Xenopus tropicalis: one gene and its partners. The protein of the gene in region 7 purifies or fractionates together with the protein of the main gene of each other region. This does not show direct contact. Links are inferred from orthologs where the notes say so. Each region holds a gene or a part of one and is shown on either strand. Other genes may lie near its edges. The genes, in order: snrpa1, ilf2, dhx15, rbm17, ddx42, eftud2 and sf3b4.

Region 1 (3,937 bases), on a different chromosome or scaffold from region 7:
TAATGTTAAAATGCATCTAACACTTTGAGAAAGTGCAGTGCTAAACAGAGTACAGGCCATGCTGGGGTGCTTTGAGGGTTTTATGCAGGACTCTTATTACCTCTACTTGTCATTAATGAGAATAAATATGTTTTTTAACCATAAAAGGCACCAGTCAGTTTTATTTTTTTAAAAATCCAGTGAATAAATCAAGTCTGCAGCTCACAGGGTTACTTATTTAACTTTTACAAAGGCCTATAATCATTCAATTCAACCCTTTATAAAATAATGCTGGCTGCCGGTCCTAAGAGATCCACTCCATAATGAGAAGGACTTGCACTCTCTGTTTATACATGTGGTTTGGCTGCATTCAAGTAGGAATGGAATTTTGCTTTTAATGCTGATGTTATTGCTCCTTATTATGGTCTCCCCAGATGCGTACTAGCTAAAAATAAGATATGCTGATGATTCATGGGGCTTTGTAACATATACATTTTGTTGGTGATTGGAACCAGCCATTTCAAAAGCTACTCTTGAGTAATCTGTTACATTCACCCAGTCATCATTTGCTCTTAGGAGCAAGAAGGAGCTGTGGATTTAAGGTCCGATAGGCTGATGAACCCTTCGAGACTGATTAGTGGGCATAGCAAGTCTATAGACTACATGGAGACATGATGGATCTTTTGAGGAAAATTCATTCAAACAAAATGATCATACTTGGTTTGCCTTTTCTTGGTGTTATGTAACAAATCTTAAAGTCAGTTCACCCAGAAGGAATAAGGATATGCTTATGTGTTACCGAGGTATTTATTTTCTTCCTACACCAGTGATTAATGCAGTGTGTGCAGCAACCAACCCAAACGCTAATGTGAGTGAACACAGTGGCAAACAGTTTGCTGCTTTAGGGTTATAGCATACTTTTGGCTGCTAAGGTGCTTTTATTGAGAGCCAAAAGTTCAATACACCCTTTCCTTTACTGTCTGTTATAAAAAAAAAAAGCCTTTATTTTGAAATGAAGTGCATTCAGATTCAGATTCTGAATACATGTCAAAAAAGTATCATATACACAGATAGCAATGACAGTGTAAGAACCAGTAGCATATATAGCTATAATAAAGCACCAAACTTACCATATTCTGTTATTGTTTAGTAGGAGGGTCTTAAGTCTTTTCAATAAAGGAAATCCATCCAGTTTTCTAATCTCATTATCTGAACAATCAATTGTATCAAACTGGTCTAGTGTTGCCCCAAGATTCTCAATCACTGGGATTTTGTAGCCTGTGTGAGAGAATCAGAGATAACATTTACATATGAACTGAGAGTTGATAATACTGCCACTGGATATATGTGTGTGTGGCTGAGAGCAAAGAAGTATACACAGTGTCTCTGCAAACATCCTCTATGACTTTGCCAATATCTGTAGTTTCCATTTGCTCCCAAAACAAGCAACTGGGGTAGTAACACAATCCAGGTTTGAACATGAATGTGCCTCATTCCCCTGCTACTTATATCAAAAGGTTTTCTAGTGCAGATGCCCTCCCTGCCTCCCAACTGCCCACCACTTACTGAGTCAGTCTCCAACAAGGAGCAGCTTTGTCAGTGTCACTGGGCTTAGGGTCAGGCAATGTTGTGTTTGGCTAAAGGGCAAAAGCCTATCAGAACATAGCCCCAGCTACACAGCCTCACAAAGCAATAGTGGGTTTTTATTTTACTGGGGTCAGTTACCTACCCTTAAGCTGCAGGTCAAGGTTAGCAAACAAATCACTTCTGTTTTGTCTATGCACCAATTTAAACCTATTGTAAAAGTGGTAGCCTTACAAATGGCCAAGGCATATGCCCACTCTGCAAGGAATCTCCTCAAACGACAACATTTATGTTATTTCTTAATACTAATAATTTTATAAGACATGCTCACCCCAGCTGTAGTAAAACTACAACTCCAAGCAACAACTGCCCTCCCCAGCCCCAGAAGGATTTCTTTACATACAAAACCTATAAAAGGACTGAATATTAACCACGACACACACAGCTGTTACCCACACAGTGTTACAACTATGCCTAAATATTATGGATTCTTCAGCCACATTCAAATAAGTTCCATATAGTGTAATAGGGGGGAGCTGGAGCAGGCGTCCAAGTATTGTAGGGGCTCCATACTCATAATATTTGGTTGACATGACTGATACAATACAGCAGGGAACTCAAAGATATTCTCCCCACTAAAAGAATATAAGTGCATAAAGCTCTAATGCTTCTGTGCCTGCTGCCACTGTACATAAGGAATACTAGATCCTACCGCAATGGTAAGTGTGTGTGTGTATACATATATCTCATATAGAACCAACACACCAATCACACACACACTTGCCAAAAAAAATATAACCCCCCCCCCCCAGCACTTTTGGGAAGCCAATACCCCGGACTATTTAACCATACACACACTGAGTTGTTTTCCCTAATTCATTACACTGCGATCCAGTCTAAATCCCAAACTAACGGCCGGATGTTAGGGAAATAACTATAAGCTCAAACAAACAAACAAACGCAGAATACAATGGAGAGTGAGTGCAGATTGGCGGACTGGCCCTGGAAATGAGAACAACTGGCAGCCGAGAGTCTCCCAATGAGGCCGGGAGAGGCCGCCGCTCACCCCTGAGGTCCAGCTCTCGGTCCCGCACCGCGTTAGTGTACTGCGCAGCCTGCTCAATCAAATCAGCCGTGAGTTTCACCATGATGCCCGGGAAAGCTGCAAGCCAGAGCCAAAGCCAACGCGCGGCACCACACGACAGGAAGTCCACTAGAGAGTCACTTCCGCTATGGCTAGGCGCTCTACTGGCCAATCAGCAAGCCGCTTTGAAAAGGGGCGGAGCCTAGCGCTGCCTCATGTACCTGTGACGCTGTACAAGAGACAGGGGAAAGTACATGAGTAAAGAATAATCGAGCGCAAAGCTTGTGGCGACAGCTAGAAGAAGCGAAGAATAAGAAAACCTTGGAAGAATACACACGGAGCTACTAGTAGAAGCTACTTGTCATGGCTACTAAAACAGACAAAGCTGATCATTTACTGATAATTGTCTCTACGTGTGTTTTAGCAGAGGCAATTCTCAGTACTGTCTATGGCAGGGGATTTTCTGGTGATTAGTAGCCGTGACAAGTAGCTGCTACTAAGTAGCTCCCTGTATCTTCACCCTTAGGGCTCTGGCACACGGGGAGATTAGTCGCCGGCAAGATGGCAGACGCGGCGGCGCAATTTCGTGCAAATCGCCGAAAAAGCCTTGCGAGTCTTTTTCAGCGATTTGCCGAAATCGCCCCGCCGCGTCTGCCATCCCACCGGCGACTTACATTATCGCCGATGGGATGGCAGGGGAAGGCAACTCGGGGAGATTAGTCGCCCGCGAACAGGGAGTTTTGCCGCGGGCGACTAATCTCCCCGTGTGCCAGAGCCCTTAAGGTGCCCATACACAAGGTGCCTTACCCTGGGGCCAAACGATTGAATTATTGCGGCGGATATAGGTCCGGGGACTGCATCAACAAGCCAACGCGGTCGCGGGCGACTAATCTCCCCGTGTGCCAGAGCCCAAAAGGTGATTGAGGGAAATCTAAATCAGTGGAAGCTACACTATTAGCTACTGTTGTTTCATTAAGAAATGGGTGAATCAGGACCTGCTAAGTCAGTAAGGACATAATTACCAACCCAAGCAAAGTTTTCTCTGCACAGTTACTAATAGCAACCAGTGATTAGCCTTGGTCTGCAGCAGGTCAGAGACTGAATGGGAATGACTGGAATTGTACTGGTTAGTAATAATGCACTGATATACCAATGCTTAAGTGTTGGTAAAAGAGCCGCAGTAGGAGGCTAAGCCAAGTGAATGCAGTTAGCAGCCTATACATGGGTAATGCAAAGAAACTTCTCAGAGGAGACAGATGTATGGGGTTTGGTATTAGCCTTTATGAAGGG
Region 2 (3,989 bases), about 15 Mb from region 7:
ATCAAATTGTCGATAACGTTGTTGATTTTGGTGACCAAAGAAAGGATTGAGGCCTGGTGGGGGGAGAGCACAAAGGGTATAATGAATATGGGCAGAGGCAACAGTGCCGGGGGTGGGGGGCAAGGGAAGCATATAGCTACCTGCTCGGCTGTGCTGGGGGCCAGATCTTGGTTTCGTTTGAGCAGTGACTCGCTGAATGAGCTATCGTCGGGGGCGGGTTTCACACGCGGGAAGGCCATTTCACACTGAAAAGAAGGGTAAGTCAGTATGTAAGCACAAGGATAGAGAAGATATATCTATCTATATAGATATATATATACATGTACAGAATGTGGGGGGAAGGAAAAGCCACTTACCACGTGGAAATCAAAGGGAATGTGAGGGACGAAGGGTCTGAAACTGTAAGAGAAAGAATAAAAGGGTCATATTTACATTAGAGAACATGTACCTGCACTGCACAATGTGGCTACTGAATAAGGAATATGGCTACCCTATGGCACAGAGTCAGGGGGGCTGCACCTTTACACGCAACTGTTAGTATGTTATACAATGGCCAATTCAATGCAACTTTTCAATTGGTCTTCATTATTTATTTATTATTTTTTCATCATTTGCCTTCCTCTTATTCTCTTCAGCTTTCAAAATGGGGGTCACTGACCCCGGCAGCCAGAAAACTTCTCTGTGAGGCTCCAGTTTTATGGTTATTGTTACTTTTTATTCCTTATCTTTCTATTCAGCCCCTCCCCTATTCATAGATCAGTCTCTTAATCAAGCCACTACATGGGTGCTAAGGTGATTTAGCACCCACCTAGCAACCAGATAGCTGCTGAACAAAAATGTAAATAATTAAAAAACTATGAATACAAAATGAAGACCAACTGCAAGCTGTCTCGGAACATTACCCTCTACATCACATTTCCACCCAGGAGCGACTGACGGGAGTATGTAGTTACAATAGGCAGCTCACCCTGTGTTAGGTCCCACTCTGGAGCCAAAGCGGCCACGTCCACGTCCTCGTTCACCCCTAAGAAAAGTAGAACAATTTAGAATACGTACATTTCTGGGGGGGGGGGGGGCACCTTAGATTGTAAGCGTCACAGGACACTTAGCTCTTAATCTCTAATATAACTACTTTGTATTTATTACTGTATGACCCTCTGTGTTCTACTCATTTATTATCACTATATCATTATTCAAACATCCAGCGCCCAATATTTGTTATCCGATCATGTACCCAGGGCCCCCCTATCCCTTCCCTATATATTAGGTACAGTACCCCCAGGGCCCCCCTATCCCTTCCCTATATATTAGGTACAGTCCCCCCAGGGCCCCCCTATCCCTTCCCTATATATTAGGTACAGTCCCCCCAGGGCCCCCCTATCCCTTCCCTATATATTAGGTACAGTCCCCCCAGGGCCCCCCTATCCCTTCCCTATATATTAGGTACAGTCCCCCCAGGGCCCCCCTATCCCTTCCCTATATATTAGGTACAGGTCCCCCCAGGGGCCCCCCTATCCCTCCCTATATATTAGGTACAGTCCCCCCAGGGCCCCCCTATCCCTTCCCTATATATTAGGTACAGTCCCCCCAGGGCCCCCCTATCCCTTCCCTATATATTAGGTACAGTCCCCCAGGGCCCCCCTATCCCTTCCCTATATATTAGGTACAGTTCCCCCAGGGCCCCCTTCCCTTCCTATATATTAGGTACAGTCCCCCCAGGGCCCCCCTATCCCTTCCCTATATATTAGGTACAGTCCCCCCAGGGCCCCCCTATCCCTTCCCTATATATTAGGTACAGTCCCCCCAGGGGCCCCCCTATCCCTTCCCTATATATTAGGTACAGTCCCCCCAGGGCCCCCCTATCCCTTCCCTATATATTAGGTACAGTCCCCCCAGGGCCCCCCTATCCCTTCCCTATATATTAGGTACAGTCCCCCCAGGGCCCCCCTATCCCTTCCCTATATATTAGGTACAGTCCCCCCCAGGGGCCCCCCTATCCCTTCCCTATATATTAGGTACAGTCCCCCAGGGCCCCCCTATCCCTTCCCTATATATTAGGTACAGTCCCCCCAGGGCCCCCCTATCCCTTCCCTATATATTAGGTACAGTCCCCCCAGGGCCCCCCTATCCCTTCCCTATATATTAGGTACAGTCCCCCCAGGGCCCCCCTATCCCTTCCCTATATATTAGGTACAGTCCCCCAGGGCCCCCCTATCCCTTCCCTATATATTAGGTACAGTCCCCCCAGGGCCCCCCTATCCCCTTCCCTATATATTAGGTACATTCCCCCCAGGGCCCCCTATCCCTTCCCTATATATTAGGTACATTCCCCCCAGGGCCCCCCTATCCCTCCCTATATATTAGGTACAGTTCCCCCCAGGGCCCCCCCCCTATATATTAGGTACAGTACCCCCAGGGCCCCCCTATATATTAGGTACAGTCCCCCAGGGCCCCCCTATATATTAGGTACAGTACCCCCAGGGCCCCCCTATATATTAGGTACAGTACCCCCAGGGCCCCCCTATATATTAGGTACAGTACCCCCAGGGCCCCCCTATATATTAGGTACAGTACCCCCCGGAGCCCCCCTATCCTATTCTCAGTAGGACCAGGCCCCCCGGAGCCCAGCACACAATGTGCCCCACAATAGGCCCCGGAAGGCGAGAAGGAAACCCGGCACCGCTCCCGGTCCCCCCAATCCCCATGGCAGCTCCCCACTCGGCCCCCGAACCCCCCGCACCTCATGTTTCAGATCTTCGTTCCTCACACTCCCGCACAATGGACAACCTCTCGGCCCTCGATACAGCCACACTAGACCAACAATCTGCTTTCCTATTGGCTATAACGACCGGTTCCACAGCCAATCAGCATCACGAACAGTCAACTCCCTCCCTCTCGGCGTCTGACAACCTATCCAAACCCGCTCGGCAAACGCATCGCTGTGACGGACGGGGACACTCACCAATCGCCGAAGGCGGAGTAAGCCCGCCCACACAGGACGCTACTTCCATAATGGCGGCAGATTCCACTTTTTCCCGCTAAACTTTATTTATAATCAACCAACACAACGCCTGGACAAAATGGCTGCTGGTATTTTTACTTCCAGTATTGCATTTGTATCGCCCTGTAAAGAAATGGCGCTAACAATGGTGGAAAAACTCTCACAAAATAGTTTGTTTATGAAAAATGTGCAAGTCTGTGAGGGTTTATTGGGGAGATACAAGTAATGGGGGGGGGGGGCTGTTCCTGTAGTTACCCCACAGCCTTTCCCATTCTGACTCCTGTAATACAGTGTGTGGCAGCAGTCAATTCCTTCTCCAGCTCTGTGAATCTGTTGGCTTCTGCTACATTGCTTCAGAAGTCAGAACCAGCAGGGCAGCAGACAAACACTGTAATAGCAACAAACATCTTACAAGTCTCTTCTGCCTTTTTCCAGCTTTCTAATGGGGGTCACTGACCCCGGCAACCAAAAAACAACTACTGCTCTGTAAGGCTACAATATTATTGTTATTTTTTATCACTTATCTTTCCATTCAGTCCCTCTCCTATTTATATTCCAGTCTCTCATTCAAACAACTGCCTGGTTGCTAAGGTAAATAAGACCCTGGCAACCGCATAGGTGCATAGTAAGAGCTCCAGGACAAAAACCTAAATAACTGAAAAACCACAAAAAAAAAGTTCATTTAAAGGGGAACTAGCCCTTTAACATAGATATGTTACTGCTGCATCCCCCCCATGAGGTTCCTTCAGGGGTATTTACATTGAAATCTGCCCCAACAGGACTCCGCCCTGTGCTATTGTGATCCGCACACACCTTTTGGTGCTACTGAGAGACACAATGTCCCAGCAGGGGAGCAACGGCAGCTTCCGCCCTGTTAGTACCTACCCCCAGGTTTTATTCATATTCACTGCAACCTGCAGAACTGCCCCGGGGGCAGATGCTACACTGCTGGGCCCCATCCTGCCGTTATTTAGGAATGAATACGAAG
Region 3 (3,500 bases), on a different chromosome or scaffold from region 7:
AACATACTAAAAGTTAATTTATAGGTGAACAACCCCTTTAACATTTTAGCTGTTTGACTTTGCCTGTTAGGTTGCACTAATATGTGCACATTTTGTTTATAGCTTGTAAATGCTTTAGTTAAATGCATCATGTTTGCTGTTCCATTGCTTGTGAGGAATTGATCCTGACTGGGCAAAGTTGTACACAGAAGCCAATCATCTTGGTGACACTGCTCATGTTCAGTGTGCTTTGGCCTGTTGTTGAGAAGGTGGGCTTAGGGATCAGCAAAAAATCATTGATGGTCTCTCACTGTTCTTACTTTTGCAGATTTTTTTGACAGATTAAACCTCAGTAGAAACTGGTCTAATTATTTGGCCAGAAGATAAGAACATAAAGAAATTTGCTTAGAGCTGTTCCCGTGCCTCTCTGAATGTGGTTTTTATTTGTATAGATGCATGGATATTTGGCACATTACTGTACAGAATCGGCCCTGGTATGGCTGCCTTTAATCTGTACAGCTGACTATGTGTAATTTAAGGCTGTAAGGGTGCGTATTGGCTAAGCAGGTGGTGCGCATAATGAGTGAACCTGGCTGTCCACACTGGGAGCTCCCACTCTGTGTAGGCGACCTAGTGCCAGCGAGGGCTATTGTTTCCACCCAACCACAGTGTGGGCTTTATTAGCCCTCACCTCTGGTGGGAGAAGACATTTCATTGTCATAGGTGTCCATTAAGTGGCCACAGAACTTATTTTGCTCTTGGTTGGCATCGGCAGGTCTGCTACAGCATGGTCTTCAAGTTTATTTGTAGCACTGTAAATATAAAGCATTACGAGGAAGTGCTGACATATGCGTGGGCTTATCTGTTAGTATAGTGCTATAAGCAGGAGTTTTTTAAATTTGACTGTATTTAGGGCAGCTTTATTAAAGGTCTGCTTCTCGTTAGGGCCCTTTTACACAGGGTGGTTTATTGTACTACCGAAAATCCCGTTTGCGAAAATGCATAAGGAGGTATTTTGAAAGAGATTAATTTTCTATGTGTCCGGGACCTTAAATACTTTGTCTTTGGTTTCTGCTTAATAAAATACTCATTACAAATTGGTATTGTCTATTTTTTATGCACCTTTTAATAATTGCATTTCAGAACCAATTGCTGACTATATAAAACAGTCACTTGTTAGATATTATGCATTATCAAAAAGTTATATTGATAGATAAATAAAAATTACTTTTTGCCAGTGAGAGATGTTTAGTAGCCCACATGTACTGTCTGTAGACACAATATATGTGCTGCAGCTTAGTATGTCACTTGGCCAGCAGAATGTTAGTACAGGTGTGGGACCTATTATCCAGAATGCTCGGGACCTGGGGTTTTCTGGATAAGGGATCTTTCCGTAATTTGGATCTCCATAACTTAAGTCTGCTAAAAAAATCATTTAAATATTGAATAAACCCAGTAGGAAATCAATTTCAAAAATTAAAATTATTTGCTTATAATGGAGTCTATGGGAGATGGCCTTTCCGTAATTCTGAACTTTCTGGATAATGGGTTTCCAAATAACAGATCCTATACCTGTAGTGACAAATATGTCTGTGCTTACCAGGACAGCCCAGGTAAACGTAACCCCTCATACTTTGTGATAATGGTTGGGGAGGATTTTGTGAAGCAAAACCGGGTATGAAGAGTTTAATATTGCTTCTGAAGCTTTTAAGACATGCAGGATACTAGGCTGTTTGCAGAGGGCATAATGGTGATGTGGGTGGTTGACAACATTTTAAAATAATTTTAGTAAATTGAGTATAGAGCTTTTTGAGCTGTGAGAAATTCTAAACTGTACATTGTAGTCTTATGAGGTTAGATACATGCTCGGTAGTGTCGGTGTTCATTTGTACATGAGAATGGGCTTGTGTACCTGCAAACAGACAGCATTACATTAACTGTGCCAACAATACAGTGCAAGGTATATGAGCTGTGCGTGTAATAAACTTCAGAGCCGAGTCAATAAAAATTGCTGTTATTTAAATGATAAAAAGGAACCCTATGGCCATGGAATCCTTATAAAGGTCATCTGTCAAGATTCCTACTAGGCACCTGGACTGGTAGTGTACTAGTGTCATAGATACTCTTCTCTTAATGACTCGATCACCAATGTAATATTCTGGATGTACACTACTGAATGACATAGTACCCTGCAACTGTATTCTGCTCTATTATACCCAATCTTCCAGAGCCATATATTGGCCCGTAACTACAATGCTGCAGGTATGGTCTGCAAAGTTGAATAGCAGTCAGCGGCTCTATATTGTTGTAAAGTCTCAATGGCAAGGTGGCCAGTAACTATTTGTCCAGATAAAAAATCCATTGCAAAGTGCAGAGCACAGCTTTGGCAAATGCAGGCCAGTCCTGTCTTTACCAACTGCCATAAATTAGATGGAAAGGAAAGGGCCCCAGTTGAGAACAAATATCTGGTTGCTGGTCACTAGATGTGGGCAAACTTAAGACTTTTTATATATATATACATTTTTGATTATAGATAATCTTACCTGTGATAATAACACAAATTGTTTTTCAATCCCTAGAAAAGACAGAGATCGAGAGAGAGATGACCGATCTAAGGACCGGGACCGTGACAGAGATAGGGATCGGGAAAGGGACAGAGACAAGGATAAAGACTCACGTGGGTCATCCAATTCTACGTATATTACAGCTAGTGGAATGCCACCTCTAAAACCTGCAGCGGTTGCTCAAGGCATTAATCCCTTTACCAACTTACCCCACACTCCGCGCTACTATGACATCTTAAAAAAGAGGCTACTGTTGCCAGTATGGGAATACAAAGAACGGTTTACTGAAATTCTTATGAAGAACCAGAGCTTTGTATTGGTTGGTGAGACTGGATCTGGGAAAACTACTCAGGTATTTTATTTTGCCTGCATTTAGCTTTTCTGGCAAGGATTATTTTTGTGTTATACAAATATAACAATAAAGCAAACTGTATATTTATTTCAAAGAATAATTATCATAGAATGAAGGTGGTCCCTGCTGCATAGACCTTACAGTCGGTGGTTAATATAAGGGCACACATAGTATAGTAATCAGTACTGTTCTTCACATTGGGTAGGGCATTAACCCATTATTAGTCAGATTTTCATATATTTTGTTAGTGCTCTAAATGTAGTTTGCAGTAGTCTAGGTGGCATAGGATAAGGGGATTGTTTTAAGGAATAAGAGCAAGGTTTTAGTTTAGGCCAAAGACTTGAGTGCTTGTCAAATAGCAGAAGGTAGTGAAGAGGTTAACCCAAGAAGTTTTTTGCGTGGTCAGTCAACACTTGGTATAAAAGTAGGGTACAAATAATATAACTATTGATTTAACATCTACTGTATTAATATAGAAATAGCATATAACCATCATTCCTCTGCCCCCCAAGCATCAAAATCCTGACTGGCACAGGGATTGTTTTAGGGTTGGCAGAAAGAAAGAGCATTAGACCTGGATCCCATCATCAAAACATAGAGGAAAA
Region 4 (3,500 bases), on a different chromosome or scaffold from region 7:
AGTGGTTCTGTCAGACAAAATCTGCCCATGTGGCAAATGGGACTGATCTTATCTATGTTCAGCTTCATGTCATAATGCTTTTATTTTTAGCACTTTTTTATTCTTTATACTAATACCCACCCACTTTCTGAATATACCATAGACTGAAAAGCGTTCTAAAATGTAGTGTAAGTGCAATAACTTTGATTACTATTTGTTTTCTATGTTAAGTGAAGTTGGAATGAAAACCTGCACAGAAGATCACACCAGACAGCTCTCATTTGATATGATATTGCAAGAGTGGAAGTGGAAGCATCACTTCAGAAATCACATTTAACTTCAAAAGAAGACAATCAGTATTATTCACTGACTGCACATAAAGACTGATTTTTCATACAAGAAGTTCCTGGAAGCATAAAAACTGCTTATTGCTTAGAATGCAAAGTTTACTAGGTAGCATTATTCAGAATATAGATTTAAAAAGTTACAGGTTCATTAAAGGTCTTGCTGGGCTATACTGGACTATAGAGCCAGAAGCAGCTAACAGCTAAAATTCTACCAAACCCATAGCAGTTATCATTTTCTTATTGTTTGAAGCAAACCTGACAAACAAGTCAGAAAAACAATATTCCATGTTGCTCCCATGTGAGAAACCCTATGTTAGGTATTATTTTTATTGGTGACAACAATGGCATGACTTTAAGTCTAAGGGGCTGATTTACTAAGACACGAATTCGAATTGGAAAAATTCCGATTGGAAAACGAACATTTTGCGACTTTTTCGTATTTTTTGCGATTTTTTCAGCGCCTTTACGACTTTTCGGAAATTATCGCGACTTTTTCGTTACCAATACGATTTGCGCGAAAAAACGCGAGTTTTTCGTAGCCATTATTTGCGCGAAAAAATGCGAGTTTTTCGTAGCCATTCCGAAAGTTGCGCAAAATCTGGCGATTTTTTCGTAGCGTTAAAAACTTAAAAGGCGCAACGTTTCGCGCAAGTTTTAACTCTATGAAAAAATCGCGACTTTTCGCGCAAGTTTTAACGCTACGAAAAAAATCGCCAGATTTTGCGCAACTTTCGGAATGGCTACGAAAAACTCGCGTTTTTTCGCAAAAAATCGTATTGGTAACGAAAAAGTCGCGATCATTTCCGAAAAAATCGCAAAATACCGATCATTACGAAAAAATCGCAAAATACCGATCATTACGAAAAAATCGCAATCGGACGCATTCGGCCCGTTCGTGGGTTAGTAAATGTGCCCCTAAGAGTGCAGCTTTTATGACCTTCCATTTGCTTAATATTTGCTATAGTATATTACATAACTTGGGAAGTGATGCAGCCTACTATACCTGGATTTCTGTGTGTATTACAATACTTCATTATTATCTCGGACAAACAAGTTCTGAAATAGGTTTAATTTATCATTGATCACTTTGTTATGCACACAAAAATCTCAGTTTCGGTAAAACAAGCAATTTACCTTTAATTGCAGATTCAACCCTTTCAAATTCCAAAAATATTCTTACAGCCTCATCATCTGGTGTACCAGGAATCTGGAAACAAAAACACACACAGCAATTATTAGAATTATTATAATTTTGACTTGAGCACAGCCAACATCTTTTAAGACAAGCCTATATATAAGTATGCTTGCCCTTCCATTTGTGTCACTTATGCAGTGTTAAAGAATTACATATCTCAACATACTTCAATAGCAAAAACCTATTGAAAGGCTTATGACCATATTATTTGGTTAATTTTTGTCAAAGTGTACCCTAGTTTTCCTATATAGACTCATAGCTTCTGCCAAGTCAGAATAAGTATATAAGAATCAAGTATACTAACTCATTTTTGTTGTTGTTTTTTTCTTTTTGAAAAACAAAGGTTTCAGCAATCTTCAGTTACAGTCTATTGAAGGATACTATGATATTTGTATATACACAATAAACTGAGCATAATTTGAGGGATAATGTGACCTATATAAAAAAAATATTCAGAAATGAGGTGACACACAGAAAGACATGTGGTGTCAAAACTCATGACTTTGCAAATTACTATAGGGAGTGCATCATCGTCCATATATTTTAACACCCTTTGATATTGGCAAAAACGTAATGCTAAAAAGGACGGATCCCAGAGAGGCTGAATCTTTCAAAAGTAAATATGGGGAGGGGTACCACTCTCTGTCAAACCCTGCACCGTCAAATATTGCAACAATTTAATAACATTCCTAAACAAAAATGACAAAGGATTGGGGATTTCATCATCTACAGAACATAATATCGTTAAAAAATTTAGAGGATTAAGAAATCACAGTACACAAGGAACAAGGCCAAAAACCAATATTGTATGGCCATAATCTTTGGGCCCTCAGTTGGCACTGCATTTAAAACAGACATGATTCTGTAGTGGAAATCACTGCAGGGGCTCCGGAATATTTCCAAAAACCACTGTCTGAACATGGTTAATCACTGCATCATTTACAATGCAAAGAAAAAAAACATATATAAAAATGATTCAGAAACACTACCACCTTCTCTGGGTCCAAGCTCATTCAGATGGACTGAGGCAAAGTGGAAAACTTTCCTGTGGTGAAATTCTTTTCGGTAAATTATATATGCTGCCTCCTCCGGGCTGAAGAGAAGGACTATCTGGGCTTATCAATGCACATTTCAAAAGCCAGTAAATGGTTACAAGAGTGTTGTTAAAAGAAGAGGTGGTCAAACACAGTGGGAAACACTACCCTGTTTTAAATTTTCAAAATCAAAATGTGCACATATTTTTCAGAAAACAACACTGATATGGGACAACAACAAACTACTGCTTTGTAATGACCAAATTTACTGTTACAATTTTATTTGTTACAATTTCTGTTTAGGCCCTCGCCTATTCAACTTCCAGTCTGTTGCTGAAACCACTGCCTGGTGCTACTGTTAAAGAGTCCCTAGTAGCAAAATACGATTAAAACTGGACAGCTGCTAAACAAAAAGCTAAGTTTTAAAAAAAAATAAAATAAATAATATTAACAAAAAAAAAATATATATGCCATTTTGTGCACTTTTTAGCTTAATTTATACCTGCTCACTTCCATTCCCAGTTCTTCTGATCGAAGCCATGTGCTCAATGTCAGTGTACCCCTACAAGCATCTAACTAAAAACGAATCTTATTTTATCTGGCCTTTAGGATGGGTGCCCTTGAATACTGTTGCTGCATTTCATAAACACAGTTACAATACTAAGGATACACCACTGCTACTGCATAACATACTAAGGCAGCACTCATATCATTAGTACTAAGTAAAGCAAAAGCACGACACCTATACCATACATGCTGGTTATTACCTCAAAAATGACACATTTTCCAACTTTGCCGTATTTTTCACACTCTTCCTTTGTTTCAGCTTCCAGATCTTCATCAACTTCCCCAGCACCTACCATGTTCTAGAAGTAGAAATCAGCAGAATGAGCTTTTGACAACAAAAATTGAGTGTTTTCCAATAGCAGAAAAAGCGCAAATTAC
Region 5 (3,988 bases), on a different chromosome or scaffold from region 7:
CATAATGTGTGTGGAATGTGACAGGGACCTTAGACAGTAAGGTCCACTGGGGTAAAGACTGATGGGATTGAATAACAATCTCTTAAAAGCATTGGGGAATGGGGAATGGGGAATATGTCCCCACTACACGAAGAGTAATAAGAAAGCTTTATTCCAGTGCTATACGATTGTGGGCCAGTTATTTACAATACTTATATGGTCAGGGGCAAATTTATAATGAAATTATAATGTCATACAAAGAGGTCAGTAAAGCCTTTAGCAATTTGGGGGCCACATAAATCTCCTGGAGGGTCACATTAAGCCTCTGGGCCTTTAGATGGACAGACCTGATATCATAAGGAACTACCTATTTTTGTGCTGCATCATGCATTTCCCCTCCATCACTTACGCATTCTCTTCATCGAAGTTGGCCCGCTTGGAGCCAATTTTGTAGAATGAGGGGAGTTGGTTACTAGTGGATGACCCAAACTTTGCTGCCGAAGACTGAAAGGCACTGTGTGAGGCTTGGGGCAACTTCGGCTCCTCCTTTTTCCCAGTGGAGATGGCAAATCCACCAAATCCAAATCCACGTTTGTTGCCGGGTCCTCCTTTGTTCCAGTTCATGGTTACGCTGAGAAAACAAGACGACATTAGCTAATAAGGATGTACATATAATAAAGCAGGAAATCTATGGGTAATGCCACACATGGAGACTCTTTCTTGTCCCAGGAAAAGTTTCAGCAACACAAGGCAGAGGGAAAGGATGCAGGACTCCTCCCATAATTCAGTAAGAATTGCCCAAAAACATTAGTCCTGTCAATGTTTTCATGCAGCCACACACCAATTCCTATCATTATGTTTTGCATCTAATTTTCATGTGAACCTATAAAGTAAAAACAGGATATGATTTGGGCATAACAAACAAATAGGCAGTACACCTTCACTCAGAGTCAGATCAGGATACCCACAGTGTGAGTATCATGTGAGTGTGGGAATAAGAGGGCAGCAGAATAAGAAAATGGGAGTTTCAGAATAGTCAGTGGGTTCATTAAAAATGAATATTTCAGTCCTAATATAAATGGCTTACAGGCCATTCATTCATTAAGGACACACAGTGACCCTTAATGTTTTGATCGCTGCTGCAAGTAGATATAATTAAAACACTGAGGTGATGTAGGCCTAAAACTTCTATGATCCTCATTAAAGACAGCTGTACACTGAATAAATATCTTAATTCATAAAATGTCTACTAAGCAAATCACAAGACATTTTAACCAAACAGCAACCAGCCTGAGAGCAAATATACTTGTGTTTCCATTTTAAAGATAAACTGGGAATCAGCCTTTTAAAACCTGTTAGCAAATCAGCTCTCATGCTTCTCAATAAGTAAATAAAACTAGAATTCTGACACAAGATAAACAAAATTAAATATACCACGGGTGTAGCCTGTGATGATTATTATTAACATGTATTTATAAAGCGCCAACATAATCTGCAGCGCTGTACAATAAATTGGTTTACACATTGGACACACAGAATTACATACAAACCAATAACCGATACAAGAGATGAAGATGGCCCTGCCCAAAAGTGCTTACATTCTATAACAGTGATCCCCAACCAGTGGCTCAGGGGCAACATGTTGCTCCCCAACCCCTTGGATGTTGCTCTCAGTGCCACCAAACCAGGGAGTTATTTTTGAATTCCTGACTTGGGGGCAAGTTTTGGTTGAATAAAAACAAGATTTCCTACCAAATAAAGCCCCTGTAAGCTGATAGGGTGCATAGAGGCTGCCTAATAGCCAATCTTAGCCCTTATTTGGCTCCTCCATGAACTTTTATGGTGCTTGTGTTGCTCTCCAAGTCTTTTTACAATTGACTGTGGCTCACGAGTAAGAAAGGTTGGGGAGCGCTGTTCTATAACATCCACCTGTAACTCTAAGTACCCCCTTCCTAAATATACACGGAACATTCTAGCATTCCATCTTTTGTGTTTATACAGATCATGTCCCGCTGGTAACAGACAATTCCTAGCACTAATGGCAGTCTTTATAAAGGTTTGAGGGGCATCAGCGGCCCCTGAGTTTAAGGATATCAGACAATTTGGACAATGGGTGACGTGTAATGTACACAAGTGGCTGGCTGTTTTTTTACATCATCCGGCATGGTTTCCATAGAATCACCCACTCTCGCTATGTTCAGCTGCTCACCCCCATGCAGAATGGAACTACAGCACCACTGCATGTGATCCCCAAAGAAAAAACACAAAGGTGTGTGTGTGTTAAACAGATTCACTGCCCCTGTCTCCTTATGTTGCTAATGGCACTTTTGTGTTTGCAGCATGTTGTATGGCTGATGGGCACCCCGGCTCACCTATATTAGAACTTTCATAACCAGCAGCCCTCATATACATTCAACAGGGATGTTCACTCAATGGCTTTCCACCTGCTGCTGGCCTACAACTCCTCACACCCTATAAGAGAGAATGCTGGGAGTTGTAGAGCTGCAGACTGGACTACTAGATATAATGAACAACTGCTCTCTCCTCCCCTGCCGTGTCCGTACAAATGGCCTCCTCCTCGCTAATACTGTCAGCCAAGGCAGCGAGTTGGCCCCGCACAGCGCCTCCTGTTTTCTCGGCCTTGCGACTTACAATTGTTCGAGCACACAATCCGGTTATTTCCCCCACCTCCCCTTGTCCCACACTCCGCACCTCCTCCTTTGCGCCGTCCGCCGCAGTTACCTCCGAGCTCAGCGCCGCGTAAACATGTCCGTCGCACCGAGATGACGTCAGGGATAGGCAGCCCGTCATGTGACCTGTATTGTACAGCATTGAAGTGTTCTGAGAACGCTATATAATGTGCATAAGCTAAGTCCTACCGGTGCCTTCAGTAACAGCCACCAAGTGGGTTGTCTCCATGCTTTTTTCACAGAAATGTCCAATGTTATGAGTAAGTGTGAGATGAAATGAGGGGTTGGTATGAAAGCAATCCTGAAACCAGTGGTGCTCATTTACTAGCACCTGGCAAATTTGCAAATTTGAAGTCATTTTTTTTCTTTGCTCAATTTGAAGCTGGCTGAACAAAGGTAGCCATTGGTTGCTATGGGTTACTGCCTACACATAGTACTTTATGAAACTATTATATTGTTCTAATGATGACTATTAGGGCTAAACTTCACAGAAGATTTTGTAGTATGGTGGGACCAATAAAAGGCACCCTACAAGTCTATAGTCGCATGGGTCAAAATATAATGAATAAACAGCAAAAATTTCAATGGAATAAAAATCACAACATTTATTGGCTCAAATAAATACAACAAAAACTAACATATAAATCAGGGGTAGGGAACCTATGGCTCGGGAGCCAGTTGTGGCTCTTTTGATGGCTGCATCTGGCTCGCTGCCAAATCTTTAATAAAAAAAATAACGGGGGGCGTGGCCTGCGATCGGCGGATAGAAGACGTGTTCTAAGCCTTAGAACACATCTTCTATCCGCCGAGCGCAGGCCATGCCCTCCTCCGCATCGCATCCAGCATTCTTGGCACCCACCCTACGTTGTCCCACAGCATCCACAGCCAAACATACTGTATGGCTCTCACGGAATTACATTTTAAAATTTGTGGTGTTTATGGCTCTCTCAGCCAAAAAGGTTCCCGACCCCTGATATAAATCATACTATACCAAAAACGACAGATGCATCCCAGTGCCTCATACTACCCACTCTCCTAATATGACAATATCAGGTAAAATCTGACCCACGAAATCTGAATAAATAAATTCTGGTATCCTCTTACACCCATGCACAGTGCACATATTCATGATAATGACTCAGAAGGGACTTAGCTAGGGAAATAAAGGGTTTTAATAGGCCCCCTTACCCCACTCCCCGACTTCTGTCTAATGCATGGTGCTTGGCAGGTCTGCATAGTGATGGTAGAAGTGGGTCACCATTATTGTTTTTATTAAAGTGACATTTCTTTTTGCAACAGACTAGTCCTTTAAAAAAGAG
Region 6 (3,500 bases), on a different chromosome or scaffold from region 7:
AATAGTTACATAGTTACATAGTTACATAGGGTTGAAAAAAGACCTGTGTCCATCAAGTTCAACCCATCCAAGTAAACCCAGCACACCTAACCCACACCTACCAATCTATACACTCACATACATAAACTATAAATACAACCACTAGTACTAACTGTAGATATTAGTATCACAATAGCCTTGGATATTCTGATTGATCAAGAACTCATCCAGGCCCCTCTTAAAGGCATTAACAGAATCTGCCATTACCACATCACTAGGAAGGGCATTCCATAACCTCACTGCCCTCACCGTGAAAAACCACCTACGCTGCTTCAAATGGAAACTCCTTTCCTCTAATCTAAAGGGGTGACCTCTGGTGCGTTGATTGTTTTTATGGGAAAAAAGAACATCCCCCAACTGCCTATAATCCCCTCTAATGTACTTGTACAGAGTAATCATGTCCCCTCGCAAGCGCCTCTTTTCCAGAGAAAACAACCCCAACCTCGACAGTCTAACCTCATAGTTTAAATCTTCCATCCCCTTAACCAGTTTAGTTGCACGTCTCTGCACTCTCTCCAGCTCATTAATATCCTTCTTAAGGACTGGAGCCCAAAACTGCACTGCATACTCAAGGTGAGGCCTTACCAGGGACCTATAAAGGGGCAAAATTATGTTCTCATCCCTTGAGTCAATGCCCTTTTTTATACAAGACAGCACTTTATTTGCTTTAGTAGCCACAGAATGACACTGCCTGGAATTAGACAACTTGTTATCAACAAAAACCCCTAGATCCTTCTCCATTAAGGATACCCCCAACACACTACCATTCAGTAGATAGTTTGCGTTTATATTATTTCTACCAAAGTGCATAACTTTGCACTTATCAACATTGAACCTCATTTTCCAGTTTGCTGCCCAGTTATCTAATTTTGTCAAATCGCTCTGCAAAGCGGCAGCATCCTGCATGGAACTTATATTACTTATAGTAATGCCTTCTTTTTTTTTTTTTTTAGGTCATGTTAACTTTTCAGATGAAGTTACAGCTGGATTTCGGATCTCTGATGGAGTGGTGTTGTTTATTGATGCTGCTGAGGGGGTACGTTTTTACTTTTGTTAGGCTAATGTCCCATGGGGAGATTTAGTCGCTGCGATTTTTAAAACACGAGTTCCAGGGACAAGTCGCTCATCCTTTACTAACAATCGATTACTAGAGATTTCATGCAGGTGTCATATTCCACACCCACAATTAGAAATTACATTCAGTGCAATGGGGATATCGAAGCAAATTTAGTGGGTTTTACTTTCAGCGATTTCAGTAGTTTTGAATGACAAATGTTTCTTTGTAAAATTGCTCGAAAAAGGGTCTCATAGCTATTTGGAGCGATAAGCTATTTAAAGTAGTATTGTTGGTTGGCGATTTAAATTTCTCTATGTAGAGACAAAACAAACGACTTGTCGCTGGAACCTGTTTTTTTTTAACATCGCAGCAACTAAATCTCCCCATGGGGCATTAGCTTTAGGTGTGTTCCCCATGTGATGTAAATGTCATCTCTCTCCAGTGACCACCTTCTAAACTTGCCAAAGAGTAAAAATGGATTCTCAAGTAGACAGAACTTTTCACCAATGCAGCAATCATTGTTCATCTATTTCTCCTTTATTTGTAGTTCACTTAGTGCTATCTCTTGCCAAGACCCTTGTTTACTTTTTTCTTTCTCCCCAGGTTATGCTGAACACAGAGAGACTGATTAAACATGCTGTTCAGGAACGTCTTGCCGTCACTGTCTGCATCAACAAGATAGACAGGCTGATTCTTGAGCTTAAGCTGCCTCCGACTGACGCCTATTACAAACTGCGGCACATTGTGGATGAAGTGAATGGACTGCTTAGGTGATTGGGTAGAATGGGTTTAAGAAACTGCATGGCATTTTGATGATGTATCGATGCCAGAAGAGAGAGTGCTGATCTGCTTCATTACACACCTTAGATCACTGTGGATTGACAGGCACAGCATTAACCTGTTAGTGCACAGTCAGGGAAGATTCCATTGCGGAAACCTGAAAGTAAGCATTTTTGCATCAAAAGCTTCCATGTTAATGCAGACCAACGCCAAGCCTGTCAAAGCACAGTGATTTAGGCGCAGAAAGCAGCGGATCAGCCTACATACACCAGTGGAGAAAAGGCCACTTTTTATATGGCCCTTAAAGGGGATTTAAACTCAATTTAAAAACACACTTCAATGTTGAGCGTGTCTCTTTTGCAATGTACATATAATTTTTTTTTTTATGTGGTTTGAGATATTCACACATTATAATCAGTTAAGAAATAATCAGAGCCTCAGACCCTGGTATTAGAAGTATAAATCTGCTAATAAATCAGAGTTTGTAAACATTCTGCTTTTTACAGGGCTGGCTAAGAACCATTACATTTTTAAGCGGGTCCTGCCCTGACTGCACTGCACTGTCGTCTTCTGTCCCAAGAGTATGACACTCCCTGACAAGTCTTGTTTTTTCTCTACAGCATGTATTCCACAGACGAGAACCTAATTCTCTCTCCTCTCCTGGGAAACGTCTGTTTTGCTAGCTCACAGTACAGCATCTGCTTTACATTGGGATCATTTGCCAAGATTTATGCTGACACATACGGTAAGGGGACATAGGTTAAAGTCTATTCTAATATAAGCCTTGCAGGTTTTCTTATCATTAAATGATCCCAGTTGTTTATGGGTTAAATCCGTCCCTTTCTTTGCAGGGGACATCAATTACCAGGAGTTTGCAAAGCGATTGTGGGGAGACATCTACTTCAATCCGAAAACGTATGTAATTGTAGGAGGGTGTAAATTTTCTTTTCTGCCTGAAGCAGAGGCTAAACCAGTTGTTAAAACCCCATCATTGTTAAGCATCCCTAATTAAATGGCCTCTGAATTCCTTTCATATGGCTGTATTTGACAATGTCAGAAATTTGCTACAATGCAAAGGCACAAACTCATTCACAGCAGAAAGCAAAAAAAACGACTTGACATTTATTTGTTTAATGCCAGTTACTGCAATATTCTAGTGCTTAAAGAATAAGTAAACCTTTTTTTTTTTACTATCAGTAAAATTACTCTAAACAGCCTCCAGAATTACCTACCTTTGTCCCAGCATTTTCTCTGACCTGGTTCCTCCATTAGAAGTTAATCGTTTTTCTTTGCTTCCTTGTGCAGAGTGAAGCCCCGCCCCCACTTCCTGTTCAGGTCTCTCATCAAAAAAAAAAAAACCCCTGCTAATGCACAGACTGGCACCTGCTTCCTCCAGGCATGCCCAGAAGGCTCTCCAGGTCGACTACAGGTAGTCGAATTGAAGAGAGAACTGAACAGGAAGTGGGGGTGGGGCTTCACTCTGCACAAGGAAGCAAAGAAAAACGATTACCTTCTAACTGAGGAACCAGGCCAGAGAGAATACTGGGACAAAGGTAGGTAATTCTGGAGGCTGTTTAGAGTAATTTTACTTATAGAAAAAAAAGGTTTACCGTATATACTCGAG
Region 7 (4,004 bases):
GGGAAGAGACAGTGACCAAGTAGATATGTTGCTTTAACCATGATCAAACGATGTGGAAACTATTGCTTCCCGCACACAGAAACCCCCAAAATACCCTGTAATCTGTTCCTTCAAAAAGCATGAATAAATACCATTTTTATATGCTGAAATCCAGCTGCAAAACAGTTCTTCTCTTTCTGCATCATTTGAAATCCTGGCAGGGGAGGAGGGACTAAAACATTCTTGTTACAAATTGCAACAACTTCTCCACAGCATTCCCCTCCATTCCTGCCTATACACAGCTATAAGAAATAATGGTTAAGAGGTGCCAATCTTACCTTGATGCTGCCCCGTGACCCTGTCTTTGGGCATGTGTGTATTCACTACAGGCCCTGCTTGCAAGAAGAGCTCCCATAGAAGAGGCTCAGACACCTTTTCATCCAGGCCTCCGACATACACTGTGGCATCTAAATCCAAAAAGAAAAAAAAAAAAAGTTATAGTACACGGCAAATCAGCTATTCCACCTTCTCTTTAAATATCCCCGTTACACTCTGAATAAATGCACAGATCATAGATCCGAGGCACTGTTGCCCTGAACTGGTAAAACTGGTGTGTTTGCTACAGTAACACTACTATAATTTATATGATAAGCTGCTGTGTAGCCACAGGGGCAGCCATTCAAGCTGGAAAAGAGGAGAAAAGGCACAGGTTACATAGCAGATAACAGATAAGTTCTGTAGAATACAATAGTGTTTTATCTGTTATCTGCTATGTGCCTGTGCCTTTTCTCCTTTGAATGGCTGCCCCCATGGCTACATAGCAGCTTATTTATATAAATTATAGTAGACTTTCTGAAGCAAACACACAGCTTTTACCAGTGCAGGGCAGCAGCACATTATATTTTAGTTACTTTTAGGGCTCTGGCACACGAGGAGATTTGTCGTCTGCGTTTTTTCCCCCTGGCGCTTTGGCGACAAGTCGCCACGAGAATACCCTCAAAGAGATTTCATGCGAGTTGAGCTCCAGGCGATCTGCTACCCATGGTACACTCAACAGTTAACCCCCCTCAAGTCGCTCAGAAAAGGGTCTGTGTGCGACTTGAAACAGCAGGCGATCTGAAGTAGCCTCGTATGTTTTGACGCTGGCAATTTCCATTGATTTAGCATTGGTGTCTTGTCGCCAAATCGCTCTTTTAAAAATCGCCGGCGACAAATCTCCTCGTGTTCCAGAGCCCTTATACACTTTCATTTTTTGGTGTTACTGTTCCTTTAATCCTTGTAATACAAACTCTCCTTGCTACAGGGTTTAGCTTTCCCTTTACAACCCTGGAGATATCCACCTATAAACCCGAAAGATAACGAGAGAAAGTTTTCATCAACTTTCCAACATATATATATACCGTATATACTCGAGTATAAGCCGAGTTTTTCAGCACTAAAAATGTGCTGAAAAAGGAACCCTCGGCTTATACTCGCGCATATACTCGCGTATATATACGGTAAATGGTTTCGCAGCTGCTCGTTGCATGCGAACCTGCCTGCACACCTGTGACGTAGCGGAAGATAGCGCTCGGACTACCGCCAGATAGCGAAGGACCCGTTCGCGGACTTTATTGAGGTTGTCCCGCAACTCTAAGGACCGGCCAAACAGCGCCAAACTCCCGGACCGTGGTGTCTTGTTGCTGTCGGGTGTGCTGCTTATTGCAATAATTGTGCCGAGAGCGCTCTGTTTCTTTAACCCTTGTCACACGGCAGCTGGCGAGGCGATTACATGACGGCTCCTTGCAGACACACAGGTTGGAATTAAGAGGAGCGCCGCCGCTTATTTAAAGAGCAGCGTAAATGCTGGGCTTACGGATCCTCTGGCGCTGCTGACAGGGCACACCGCAAGGTACCGCTGCTTCACTTGCACACCGGGAGTTGCTTTGGGTCTCATTGAAATATAGCAGGGTGCTGGGTGGCCATTCTGTGGGTGTCTCATCCTTGTCTTGTCGGGCACTGATGTCCCAAATCGCCACCATGAGATAGAACAGCTTTGAGGTAACCTATTGTTTCTCCTACTCCCATGTAACTGGTCGGCTTATACTCAAGTCAATAAGTTTTTCCAGTTTTCTTAGGTAAAATTAGGTACCTCGGCTTATATTCGGATCGGCTTATACTCGAGTATATACGGTAATAAAAAAAATCAGTGGTTCAAAGGTAAATGCTATTGCTATTGGAAGTAGTATCTATCTGCCCCTTTCTTATTCTTGAAACCATTTCATAGTTTAATAGCCCTGGCCTTTGTTACATTGTTTCAGAAGTCAGAACCAGCAGTGTAGACTATAATAAGACAGACGGCTTTCGCTAACAATTATATTTTGCAAGAAACTTTATAAACGTTGGAAATGTGTAATGAATGTATATAGGGAGGCTGCTTAGCATTAGTTCTGTGCATTATACACAGTGTTTATGGGGATAGCACTATAAACTGTATTGGTGGGGAAGAAGCAGATCAATGTTTCTGTGTAGATTCAGGTACAGTTACAGGCCGGGCTGCCGATATTATAAGAACAGCTTTGTGTCCAAATGACTTTTGCACAGAGATGGAGCCTGCACCTCATGCACACAGTGCAGCCCGCCTCCCCCTGCTCTGAGCTCTTACTGTTCCCTGTAAACCCCGGATACCCCTACTTCCAGCCCCCCCGGCATAACAGTTCCCTCCGCCCCAATCACCCCATGCAGCCCATACGCAGTCTGTACGTTCCTTACCCTGGTTCCGTTCAGATATCGGCCCAGCCGCCATTTTCTCGCCGCCAACCACTCAGCCACCTCGCTGCTTCAGTTTCCGCTTCCCTACTTCCGGCCTCAGAACGCTTACTTCCGCAACCACTTTTTTTTTTTTTTTTTAGATGGAATAACTTTATTAACATGCCTTATGCAGTCAATGCTTTCCGGCGGAGATATTTGTATTGTAATGAAACCCCAAAGCTAAAAGTAAACGTGTAGTAAACTCTGAGGGGGTTATTTATTTATTTTTATATTTTTTTAAGATTTTACAGTAAATGTGCCAGTATTGTCAGCGCATAGAGGGTGTTTCATTGTTTCTATGGGCACCAAGGATTATTAAAGGGTCCCTGGTGTGAGCTAAGGGTGCAGACACACGGAGCTACTAGTAGCAACTACTTGTAGTCGCTACTTAAATAGACAATGCTGATCATTTACTGATAACAGTCTCAATGTGTTTTAGGGCTCTGGCACACGGGGAGATTAGTCGCCCGCGACAAAACTCCCTGTTCGCGGGCGACTAATCTCCCCGAGTTGTCATGACCCGCCATCCCACTGGCAAACATGTAAGTCGCCGGCGGGATGGCACACGCGGCGGCGCGATTTCCCAAATCTTTTTCGGCGATTTCGGGAAATCGCGCCGCCGCGTGTGCCATCCCACCGGCGACTTACATTGTCGCCGATGGGATGGCAGGGGAAGGCAACTCAGGGAGATTAGTCGCCCGCGAACAGGGAGTTTTGTCGCGGGCGACTAATCTCCCCGTGTGCCAGAGCCCTTAGCAGAGGGAATTCTCAGTATTGTCTATGGCAGGGGATTTTTTGGCGTTTAGTAGCTGTGAAAAAGTAGCTGCTACTAGTAGCTCTGTGTGTCTTCACCCTAAAGGAACATACAAGGGTCACATGTAAAGACCAATGCTCCTCCCCTTTTACATAGAGATGTCTGTTGGTTGAGAATTTAGTGAGACAAGAAAGTCTTATTGGCCAAATAGTAGATTTGACTATTGTGTCTGATGTATATTTTTAAACCTTTAATGTTAAAGGTAACTGAAAGCCTGGTGAATGCCTTGGTACCAAAAACTCCTTGTTTGTTGCCCCTGGATATAAAAAGCAGACTGGTGGAGCAGTAGTGAGGGGAGCCAGAGCAGCCCAAGATGGCAGCTGCCAAACCTGCACTTTTCTTCTTCTAACCAGATACAACAACTAAGCAGGTTTGGGGGTCCCTGTTGGTGGGGTTTAGGAAGGGACAAAGGTACTAACCA

The links.
Region 1: the proteins of sf3b4 (region 7) and snrpa1 purify together in Homo sapiens (affinity purification with mass spectrometry; 3 studies listed by BioGRID and IntAct, counting the BioPlex papers as one, with this or other methods). This does not show direct contact. The link is inferred for Xenopus tropicalis from reciprocal best matches to the Homo sapiens genes SF3B4 and SNRPA1.
Region 2: the proteins of sf3b4 (region 7) and ilf2 fractionate together in Homo sapiens (co-fractionation; 3 studies listed by BioGRID, with this or other methods). This does not show direct contact. The link is inferred for Xenopus tropicalis from reciprocal best matches to the Homo sapiens genes SF3B4 and ILF2.
Region 3: the proteins of sf3b4 (region 7) and dhx15 purify together in Homo sapiens (co-immunoprecipitation; 4 studies listed by BioGRID and IntAct, with this or other methods). This does not show direct contact. The link is inferred for Xenopus tropicalis from reciprocal best matches to the Homo sapiens genes SF3B4 and DHX15.
Region 4: the proteins of sf3b4 (region 7) and rbm17 purify together in Homo sapiens (affinity purification with mass spectrometry; 4 studies listed by BioGRID and IntAct, with this or other methods). This does not show direct contact. The link is inferred for Xenopus tropicalis from reciprocal best matches to the Homo sapiens genes SF3B4 and RBM17.
Region 5: the proteins of sf3b4 (region 7) and ddx42 purify together in Homo sapiens (affinity purification with mass spectrometry; 3 studies listed by BioGRID and IntAct, with this or other methods). This does not show direct contact. The link is inferred for Xenopus tropicalis from reciprocal best matches to the Homo sapiens genes SF3B4 and DDX42.
Region 6: the proteins of sf3b4 (region 7) and eftud2 purify together in Homo sapiens (affinity purification with mass spectrometry; 3 studies listed by BioGRID and IntAct, with this or other methods). This does not show direct contact. The link is inferred for Xenopus tropicalis from reciprocal best matches to the Homo sapiens genes SF3B4 and EFTUD2.

What each region holds. Positions count from the first base shown.
Region 1 is NC_030679.2:115,912,779-115,916,715, forward strand, and holds the start of snrpa1 (U2 small nuclear ribonucleoprotein A'), read right to left. Parts: upstream 2,801-3,937; 5' UTR 2,712-2,800; coding exon 2,630-2,711; intron 1,258-2,629; coding exon 1,110-1,257; intron 1-1,109. UniProt on the Homo sapiens protein: Involved in pre-mRNA splicing as component of the spliceosome. Associated with sn-RNP U2, where it contributes to the binding of stem loop IV of U2 snRNA.
Region 2 is NC_030684.2:144,160,612-144,164,600, reverse strand, and holds the start of ilf2 (interleukin enhancer-binding factor 2 homolog), read right to left. Parts: upstream 2,801-3,989; 5' UTR 2,746-2,800; coding exon 2,741-2,745; intron 1,025-2,740; coding exon 968-1,024; intron 400-967; coding exon 357-399; intron 246-356; coding exon 141-245; intron 54-140; coding exon 1-53. UniProt on the Homo sapiens protein: Chromatin-interacting protein that forms a stable heterodimer with interleukin enhancer-binding factor 3/ILF3 and plays a role in several biological processes including transcription, innate immunity or cell growth.
Region 3 is NC_030677.2:31,430,013-31,433,512, reverse strand, and holds part of dhx15 (pre-mRNA-splicing factor ATP-dependent RNA helicase DHX15), read left to right. Parts: intron 1-2,558; coding exon 2,559-2,895; intron 2,896-3,500.
Region 4 is NC_030679.2:84,301,937-84,305,436, forward strand, and holds part of rbm17 (splicing factor 45), read right to left. Parts: intron 3,422-3,500; coding exon 3,323-3,421; intron 1,534-3,322; coding exon 1,461-1,533; intron 1-1,460. UniProt on the Homo sapiens protein: Splice factor that binds to the single-stranded 3'AG at the exon/intron border and promotes its utilization in the second catalytic step. Involved in the regulation of alternative splicing and the utilization of cryptic splice sites.
Region 5 is NC_030686.2:17,157,282-17,161,269, reverse strand, and holds the start of ddx42 (ATP-dependent RNA helicase DDX42), read right to left. Parts: upstream 2,801-3,988; 5' UTR 2,692-2,800; exon of another isoform or gene 2,632-2,691; intron 2,601-2,631; exon of another isoform or gene 2,352-2,600; intron 611-2,351; 5' UTR 604-610; coding exon 389-603; intron 1-388. UniProt on the Homo sapiens protein: ATP-dependent RNA helicase that binds to partially double-stranded RNAs (dsRNAs) in order to unwind RNA secondary structures. Unwinding is promoted in the presence of single-strand binding proteins.
Region 6 is NC_030686.2:17,873,738-17,877,237, forward strand, and holds part of eftud2 (116 kDa U5 small nuclear ribonucleoprotein component), read left to right. Parts: intron 1-992; coding exon 993-1,075; intron 1,076-1,699; coding exon 1,700-1,866; intron 1,867-2,496; coding exon 2,497-2,621; intron 2,622-2,727; coding exon 2,728-2,791; intron 2,792-3,500. UniProt on the Homo sapiens protein: Required for pre-mRNA splicing as component of the spliceosome, including pre-catalytic, catalytic and post-catalytic spliceosomal complexes. Component of the U5 snRNP and the U4/U6-U5 tri-snRNP complex, a building block of the spliceosome.
Region 7 is NC_030684.2:128,887,628-128,891,631, forward strand, and holds the start of sf3b4 (splicing factor 3B subunit 4), read right to left. Parts: upstream 2,801-4,004; 5' UTR 2,765-2,800; coding exon 2,731-2,764; intron 447-2,730; coding exon 318-446; intron 1-317. UniProt on the Homo sapiens protein: Component of the 17S U2 SnRNP complex of the spliceosome, a large ribonucleoprotein complex that removes introns from transcribed pre-mRNAs.